2 linked regions of the Neurospora crassa OR74A genome follow. The protein of the gene in region 2 interacts with the protein of the main gene of each other region in a biochemical or structural test. Links are inferred from orthologs where the notes say so. Each region holds a gene or a part of one and is shown on either strand. Other genes may lie near its edges. The genes, in order: camk-4 and NCU02496.

Evidence for each region.
Region 1: of the proteins of NCU02496 (region 2) and camk-4, one has a biochemical effect on the other in vitro, tested with the Schizosaccharomyces pombe proteins (2 studies listed by BioGRID). The link is inferred for Neurospora crassa OR74A from reciprocal best matches to the Schizosaccharomyces pombe genes cdc25 and srk1.

The regions. Positions count from the first base shown.
Region 1 is NC_026501.1:5,859,065-5,863,528, reverse strand, and holds the start of camk-4 (serine/threonine-protein kinase), read right to left. Parts: upstream 3,046-4,464; 5' UTR 2,176-3,045; coding exon 2,136-2,175; intron 2,007-2,135; coding exon 1,516-2,006; intron 1,405-1,515; coding exon 1,351-1,404; intron 1,177-1,350; coding exon 932-1,176; intron 872-931; coding exon 1-871. UniProt on the Schizosaccharomyces pombe protein: Delays the mitotic G2/M transition by promoting nuclear exclusion of cdc25. During osmotic stress, inhibits the G2/M transition in a sty1 stress-activated MAPK pathway-dependent manner.
Region 2 is NC_026501.1:2,517,681-2,522,162, forward strand, and holds the start of NCU02496 (M-phase inducer phosphatase 3), read right to left. Parts: upstream 3,104-4,482; 5' UTR 2,500-3,103; intron 2,441-2,499; 5' UTR 2,012-2,440; coding exon 1,788-2,011; intron 1,716-1,787; coding exon 1,642-1,715; intron 1,572-1,641; coding exon 1,361-1,571; intron 1,262-1,360; coding exon 106-1,261; 3' UTR 1-105.

The sequences.
Region 1 (4,464 bases), about 3.3 Mb from region 2:
CTCGCGGTCCCTACCGCGTTGCTCCTGTTGTTGATCCCTGATTTGGGCATTGCGCATGCTTTGCTCAAGAGATGTATGGTATTGCTTGCCATTTACGACATCATGCATAGCAACATCCTCTCCCTCGTCAGAGTTCTCGTCGAGGCCTACCAGACGAGACACGCCCGCCTTGGCTCCAAGGTTATGACGTCTCTTGCCTTCTTCCTCTTGGCGATGGACGGCATAGCCAACATCAAACACTTCGCGCAGATTGACAGCACCTGGAGAACGGAAGTCATAACGTCTGTCTCCATCCACAATCTTGGATGCATCGAAGGCCCGCAGCACACCATCCGGGTTCTTCCGCTCGTCTCTTGGCGTAGGACCCGAGCCGGCAATCCAAGGATGCGCGAGGAACTCTGTGATCGTGTAGCGCTTCTCGGGATCGACGCACAGAAGATGCGAGATAAGATCCTGGGCGGATTTGCTGATATCGTCCCACCATGGCGAAAGGAAGGTATACTGGCCCTTGGCAACCTTCTCCGTCAAGACCTCAATGCTCTCATCGTAGAAAGGTGGGAAGCCGCAAAGAAGAGTGTAGAGAACGCAACCCAGCGCCCACATATCGACTGCCTTGGAGTACCGCTCATCCTTGACGATCTCGGGTGCTGTATACCCGACAGTGCCGCAGGGAGTCATGGTTTGTTTGTCCCAGACGATCTTGGACAAGCCGAAATCGGCTATCTTGATCTGACCAATCCCACCAGAACCTACGCCTTTGATGAACTCGCCCTCGTCAACTTTGTCCTCATCACCTGGCTGCTTGGGTTTCGGGTGCTTCGAGGGGATAAATGGAATGGGGCTGAAGAGGATGTTTTCAGGCTTGATGTCACTGTTCAAGGAGTGAGCAGAGATTCACTAACTACTGGCACGATGATGTGGGTCAACTTACCGATGGACTACACCCTTCTCCTCGTGCAGATACTCCAGAGCCTTTGCTACCTGTGTGATAACGTGCCTGGAGAGATCCTCACTAAAGTACGTCAGACGCACAATCTGGTGGAACAGCTCGCCGCCAGGCGCCAGTTCAAGAATGATGTAGTAGTATTGGCGAGACTCGGCGAAGTCGACAAGCTTGATGATGTTGGGATGGTCAAGCTGGCGCATGATTTGCACCTCTTTCAAGATATTGGCTCGCTGTTCACAGTCATTGTTAACTCATCAGAACATGAGTAGGCGGGCACGTCCCTACCCCATTGCTTGATCGGGGTAGAGACAGGTCGTCAATAACAAAGCAGTCGAGACATATGAGGAGAGGAGAGTACATTGACGACCAACAATGGAAATAGACAAAAGAGAAATTTCTCGCACCTCTGCAGCCTTTGGTGCCTTTGGCTTGAAGTCCGGATGGAGATGTTTGTTGCTCTATAGTGAGCCCTGGAGGTTGGTATTGAAACCTTATAAAACGGCAAAGACGAAAGGAAACGAGGATGGCGAAGATGAAGAAGAGGGCATCCCCGGTGTGCTGTCACGTACCTGCATGTTATTCATCTCGAACTTGCGAACAACTTTGATGGCTACTTCGCCCGCGTTACCCTCCAAATCCCGTGCGCGGTAAACATTGCTGAAGGCACCGTCGCCCATCTTCTCGACGAGCTCCCATCGCTCGAGGCCGGGGTACCTGGGGAATTTGCTCTTGCTTGCGTTTTCTTCCGCAACAAGCCTGACAATATTCTCGTCGGGAACCTTGGTCTTTGACTTGGTCTTGTGTGCTAGGTTTTGGTCGGCCTCGGCATAATGGGCAGCGGCATGGCCAGCCTGCGCGACACGGTTATGGCCGTCAACTTGCGTGTTCGAGTAGGCATCTTGAACGGGCGCTTGGTGGTTGCGTGGCGGAGAGCCTCCCAGGTTAGGTTCTGAGACAGGGGCCGCCATCTTTGTGGGCTGGTGGTGATGCTGTGTGGCAGAGTGGTCGGCCTGTTTTGTCCGCGCCGGCTCTTCAGGGTTTGCAGTGCGGGCTTGCTTTCCTGTTTGATTAAGGCCGATATTAGCTTGCGACTCCTTGCCATCGGGAAGGGAGGAGTGGGCGTGAGGAGACGGCAGGGGAGAGGTACTGAGCGCGGGCAGGTGCAAGCAAGCATCTCAAGCAGACATACCGTGTCGGATGAAGTTCTTCAACTGTTGTATTGTCGACATTTTGTCGGATATTATTCGGGCTTTTTGATCAGATGACGATTTGGTTGAGGTTTGTGAGAGTTGGCTGGTGAACAGCGGTGGGAGGATGCACCTGGATCCTCGCCTTGGTGCTCAGCTGGTGTTGAGCAGAGCTAGTGAAATCAGGTGGACTGTTGTTCGCAATTGGGACTATGCGTCGTCACAATATCAATAGGTGGCCGAGAATGCGCAGTGAAGGACTGTTGAGTGTCTCGAGTGGTGTCCTGCGGATTTCCGTGCAGGCGGTCGTTTGCGGGGTCGGGCAGTGTTGGGCGGGATCAATGTGCCGATTTGCAAAGGGCGATGTGGAGAGATGAGCACGGAGGTGCTATGGTAGGGTGAGCGCGGCTTGTAGGTGGAGGACAGGACGTTGCTGTCGCTGGGCTGCCCTGTAAATGGTTTCGGGGAATTGGAAAGAGTTGAAAATGGCGATCGCAGACACGCGCGTTGGTGTCGAGAAGATATTAACCGTCTGTCGGAAGTCAATGACGACGGCCGGGAGGAGGAATGGGCGGCAGAAGGGTACCTCAGCAGTCAACAGGAAGGCTTGACTCGGGGCAAGCGGGCGCTACTATTGGCTGGAATTGAGGTCACAGTGGCTGCACGACCGAACCAAGGAATAATTTGCAAAAGGAAGTGACGCAGTTGTCAAGTCCGCACGTGAACAGAAGGATGATCCTGGGGCCTGGACGGGGTTTCGTTATAATGCAGTGTAGTGAAAAGGGCGGACGATGCCGACAAAGGACACTTCTCAATGATCAGATGCTGGTCGCGCAGAAGGCAGATTGACTGTGTGCAGTGGTGCTTGGTAAGGTGGGGGAAAACAGGATGGAAAGGGCGACGGGGCATGGAGGGGTTTTGTTCTTATTTTATTACCGGGACTGGGAGTGACCGGGACCTAGTCGGGTGGAGGGTGTGTGGTGTGTTCCTTTTTTCTCGCTCGTCCCTCTCGGTTTCATCATTTCTTTCATCATCGGGCGCATACCACGCATTACTACACTACATCAGACTATTATCCATGCTGCCATGCCATATGCCATGCTACCTACCATTCAAGAGACCAGACAGACTCCTGTCTAGACCGCAGCTGTTGAGCCTAACCGGACCCACGAGGGGCGGGCACGATGCTTGAGTCGATGTCCAGTCCCGCCAGTCAGTCGAGATGACACAAACCGCTCATAGCCACAGACGCTACCTGGAGTTGAATACGGGCCTCAAGTAACTACCTTTTTTTTTTTTTTTTTTTTTTTTTTTTGCTCCTCCGACCAGAATACCATGTCTGCACTGGAAGGGGCCACCCTCGTCCGAGACAAAATAGATGAGACCAACCACCAGGTTAGGAGGTTAAGTAAAACAGTCCGCTACCGCTCGCCGAGATGGAAAGACTCGCTGTGATAGGGATTACAACGATTCAAAAAAAAAAAAAAAAAAACCTCACATCGGCTAGAGTCCCAATTGAATATTTCTATCCAGGAATTATTTAGAACTCAAGATCAGAGGTGTAACAAAAACGCTGGATGCGTAGTAGGAGTATACCCACGGTATAATGTCAAAGGTCTCGACTATTTTGTCCAGGACGAGCCGCCCTTGTTTGTCGGCGGTGACCGCGCGTGATGGATGGGGATTGGGACGGGTCGGTTTGAACGATGGGATTGGGCACAAAGCGTAAAATGCTGCCTCTCACTCTCGAGCGCTGTTCCATGCTTTGGCATCCACTTTCCGCTTCACTAACAGTCCAGCGTCTCCACAAGTCGGCAAGATCAGATCCAAGATTCCCACTTGTATGACGTAGCTGAGCGTCATCCTGGCGTTCCACTACCGCTTGCCGAAAGAAGCTAGCGCGGAAAAAGGAAACCACCACGCAGTTATGAAACCACACTGCCTGCGACGACGAGGACGACGACGAGATGATTGCTCCCAATTTTCTAACATCGTATATCGTCCAGAAAACTCTCTCATTCATTGACCCATGTAATTGAACCCCACCAGATTCCGTCCCGAGTCTAACAAACATCAAGGTGATCATTTTGCATCCTGGTCTAGGTCTACCTAGATGGGCATCCAGACCAAGGTCAGATGTCAAACCAAGTTCAGCTCCAAGGCCCACCCTCTTCTGGCGTCCAGGATAACGCGTATCTCGTTACCAAGCTATTGGAAGGCGCGTTCGGAGAGCTTGCATTCCGATAGGTGAAAGAAGTCTTCAGTTCAAATTCAAATCGATGCTTTATTCAAACCTCTTGGTATTGCATGAGTCGCGTGGTTCAAAACTGA
Region 2 (4,482 bases):
GCCCCAGGGTCCCGAGCGCGAGGTCAGACGCTCTCCATTGTGGCAAATCACAGCCGATATCAACGGTGGTGCTCTGTTCATGCCTGGACATGCCATTTCTCGGCTTCAGAAAGTAGCCATGCGCCTAGAATGGCTTCGGTCATTGCCGAGAATGGGCGATGCTCCTATCATGTCCTCCTCATCATCCCGAGAAACCTTGCGGCCCGGCGCGGTTGGCGAAACAGCCTCGAATTTGTCGGACTTGCGTTCACGCTGCCCGAATGCGTAGGTCTGGGCCCTACTAAAGCCCTTACGGGTCTGGCGTAGACGGCCCATTTCTCGCTCGCACGTGTTGACATGTTCGGCGTCATTCATCTCGATATACGCTTGAGGGCAGCAACGTTCCCGGTGATTCTGGAAGAATCCGCTATAGCCTCCGTCCAAGATGTAAACATCGGGGTACGTGAGTTTAGGATAAAATTCGGCGTTGATAGTGCGGTCTTCGGATCGTATGTGGCGGGCCATGATGGGCGCGCGATGGGCTGAATATTCGCAATGAAAAATCAAGAGCGTGCGCCCTTCCATAGGGGTCTCGAACAGATGTCTCGCCAAAAGCTCCTTGTCATTGTAATTGATGGCCCCGTCAATGTGGCCACCTTCATACTCGTACTCGAAGCGGCAGTCAATAATCATCCTGTGCGAGTACTGACTACCATACTTGCCGTCAAGCACTTCGAGCAATGTGTCTCGGCTGATGCGTGGGATAGAATCGTTCTCGCCTGAAGGGAAAAAATGTGGCAATAAAGGCTCCTGAGGTTCGTTGACATCCACGACAGACTTGAGACTAGATGGAAGAGATGTGCGCTCCTTAGGCTTGACAATGTCGCCCGGACTCTCAAACATGGACAGCGAGCGGCGGAATGTTTTCCTTTGCCGGGCAAAGGGGTTCGAAGGTGTGCGGGCATTGTTGGTGGGAGAACGTTTGCGAACGCTGTTAATGCTGCTGCCGCTGCCAAAATGAGTCTTGCAGCGCGCTGCCGCTGCATTAGAGCATGGACTACCCGGCAAGACAGGTGTCCGGCGCTCCTGCGGGGGTGATTCCTCGAAACATTCGCTCAATGACAACGACACCGAAGGGGAGATGGGTACCTTGAGGTTCCGGGCACCGAAGCGGAAGGGCGGCAGCCCCGACCCCGAACCGTTGGAGCGCCCGGGTATACTACTCGTGCTATAACCTTTGGCCCGGGCCAGAGGTGGACGAGACAAGCCAAGTCTCCTTCGCCTGGCAAAGAGAAGAGGAGATGATTAGCTTCTGCACAGACCAAAGGACGAGGGTAGAGTTCAGGAAGATTTGCTGATCAAAAGTCAAGCATGAACTTACTCGGCACCGATTCCCTTGGATTCTTGAGACAGCTGCCGCACAGCAGCAGGTGAGTCTGGTAGTGTGTCTTCATCGCCAGAATCCACTGCAGCCGGAGAAGGACTAGCGGCGAGACGTGACAGGAAAGGTGCCTTGATCGGTACCGGAGACATGTCCAACCTGTTAACTGCAGGTGACGAAGATGCAGGAGGCGGCGGCGTGGTTGCATACCCTACAGATCTGTCAGCGTCCGAGCTTTAAATAAGCTATGTAGCAGATTGCTCGCTCCATTGATTACTCACCACGACCTTCAACCGCGTTTTCAATACCTGTTGAGGTGAACAGCGCACGCCGTGGTGTCGGAGGTAACGGGCTACTGCAAAGTTCCATTTGGTCAACACTGTCGACAATGCTATCCGTTGTTCGACTTCTAAGTGAAAAGGCTAACCCTGCTTCATTGAGCTTGAAGTTTTCTGACGACCCGGCGACCAGCGAACCCTTAGGCGAAGACCTTCCTGCATGTTTGGTGTTGAACAAGTCCGCATTGGATCGCTTGAAGTTGAAGAGACCTGTTGGTGGCGCCAAGTTGCCATTGCGCGGTCCAAGCACTTCTGGCTGGCTGAAGGACGGCGGAGCAGGCCGAATCGCGGCCAGGGGCGATGAAGCCTCCATATTATCGTGACAACTCTCCAACCAGTTTCGACTTTCCTACGGATTGGCGTTCGGCATAGATCGGTGTTCCAATTGGTCTGTCGATGGGCCGGGTTCCGTCTGAATACTGAACAAAAGCCAATTCTTGGAGATACGACTGAAGCTTGCGCAGCACTCGAAAAAGGGTCGCCAATCGATGCTGTGGCTGGCTGATTCGCGTTCGTGGAATCGTCGTCACTGTCGTCGAGAGCTGCTATTGTCGGGTTCACCGTCGCGATGCTATGGACCTGGACACCGAGAGAAAGGTCCGCTCGAGTTGGCGCGCACGGAAGACCAAGGGGACTGGACTGGACTTGGGACTTGAAGATTGTCGCCGAGCAAGATGACAGAAAGACCTTAAGCTAACTAGTGGTGTAAACTGGACGCGCCGACATCGATGTCGATCAAAGCCTAGTCCATATCCGTCAGCCAACAATGCCTTCCCGAAAGTGCAGGCAGGGAACTCGGACCAGTTTTAGAAGCTCTGTGGTCGCCGGGATCAAACAATCTCCGTTTTTCCTTGTTCGAAAACTAAAAGTATGGTCGGTTCCGTCTAGTTGTTCAATGCCACGGGCGGTATGCAGCTGTGCAAACCTTTGCGCACGGCAGAACTTCTTTTGGCCGCCACCTGAGGTGTTCTTTTAGGTAGACAGTGGGTTCCGTTGTATTGTGGGTAGACGGGCAGTGATGGCCTGCGGCCTGGGGGCGGGGTGAACGAGGTTCGGCACAAGCGCTCAGCTGCACACGGACAGCCTGGTGGGTGACGGGATGGAGTCTTTTTGAGGACTGCGAATGGGCGACCGCATAGGGTGAACTGGGCTGGCTATGTTGAAAAGCTAGAATAAAGGTCGAAGAGCAGAACGTGCATTCGTTGTTGTAAGAAGGAGGAGCACGTAGGTGTTGTGTGCACGCATGTGTCACGGTCCAATGTTGAGTGAAAGCGAAGAGGGGAGCTGCTGTAAACATCCATCCAGAAGCTGGACGAGAACTCGCAAGTAAACTTGGACCTCGCTCAAGTGGTTGGTAGGAAGTTGACAAAATCGGATGTCTGCGCTGTTCAGTGAGCTAGCTGCCCCTGTTCAGTGGTCCCCGAAAATTGGAGGAGCACTCGGCGACGTTCAAGGTCCTGCCTTCAACTGGTTGGCGGAAGGGGCAACGAGGATGGAGGGTTGCAACGGCGTTGCACCTACGGAAGCCCAACAACGAGAACGACACCAGGCCGAGGCGGTACTGGAGTTGACGCTATCGTGGGTAGGCAGGAGCAATCGGCGCTATCCTCGACATGTTAGAGGAGAGTTTACAGCATCTTAGCGAAAGGTTTACAACATGTTATTACCCGGTTAGGTTGTTTGTAACCGGTGGTAACTGGACTGGGCTGTTACCCAGCAACCTAGGAAGTTCTATGTGGGTAGTACCTGGAGCGAGCGCTGCGCTCGGGCGCTTTCGGAGACCCCTGGCATGTGTCACTTTAATTCCCGTCGTACGGTCCCGTCTGCTGCACATTGCCCAGAGCGGGAGCTTTCCACTTGGCACTAGTGACTTCTGTCTTTCATCTCATCCCTCCTTCTTTGTTTTCGTCAGTATCATTATGCGGGCTTATTATTGCAGTGCATCATTTCATTCTTTCCGTTTACACGAGTTGCTTCTATTGCGCGGGATCGGGCGTCAACTCCGCGGCACATCCCCGGGCCTACCCACGCAGTAGAGAGGTACATAAGCGCTCGCTGAAGACTTGCATTCGGTGCGTCTTTGCGCCGAGGTACATGAACTCTGCCTTACCACGCAGTAGTACCAAGTATTCACTATCACCTCTCATCTTTGTCTAACCTGTAAAATGTCACAATTCCGCTGACACTTTGACCTGTCCTCATTATTTTTTCTACTTGCATGGTCCATACTTCTTGATTCACTCAGGGTCATTTACGCACACGGCAGCCCGGGAGGGATGACAGAAGTGTGACCTTTGAAAGGAATAGGCAAGGGATCGGAACTCGGAAACAATGTCAAAACTTTTGAACACCAAGAACCTGTTCATCGACTATTTGACGAAGAAGTTCTCGGTCTGCGCCTTCTCCTAGTACCCATCAATGATGCCCTGGAACAGCCTGACTGGTTCTACCATGTTGTGATGTTGGAAATCCAGTGGAAACATCGAGCTCGTTACAAGAATTTGAGCCATGGGACATGATTTCGCAGATAAACCAAAACCAAACTCTACTATTCACAGACTCGGTTCAAGTGATGGAGCCTGTGAATGGCTGTGTCGGAAAGCCATTTTGGTGGTGAACCACGGTTGCCTCCCGGCGAGACCCCATAACCGTTCTTGCACTTCGGCATACGATCGCTCCCTTTTGTTTTGTTTATGTTGTTGGCTCCTCAATTGTATCTGACGCTTTCCGATCAATGTCTCACCCAGGTTTTCGTTGGCCGTCATTCACTATCTCTTCGTTGTT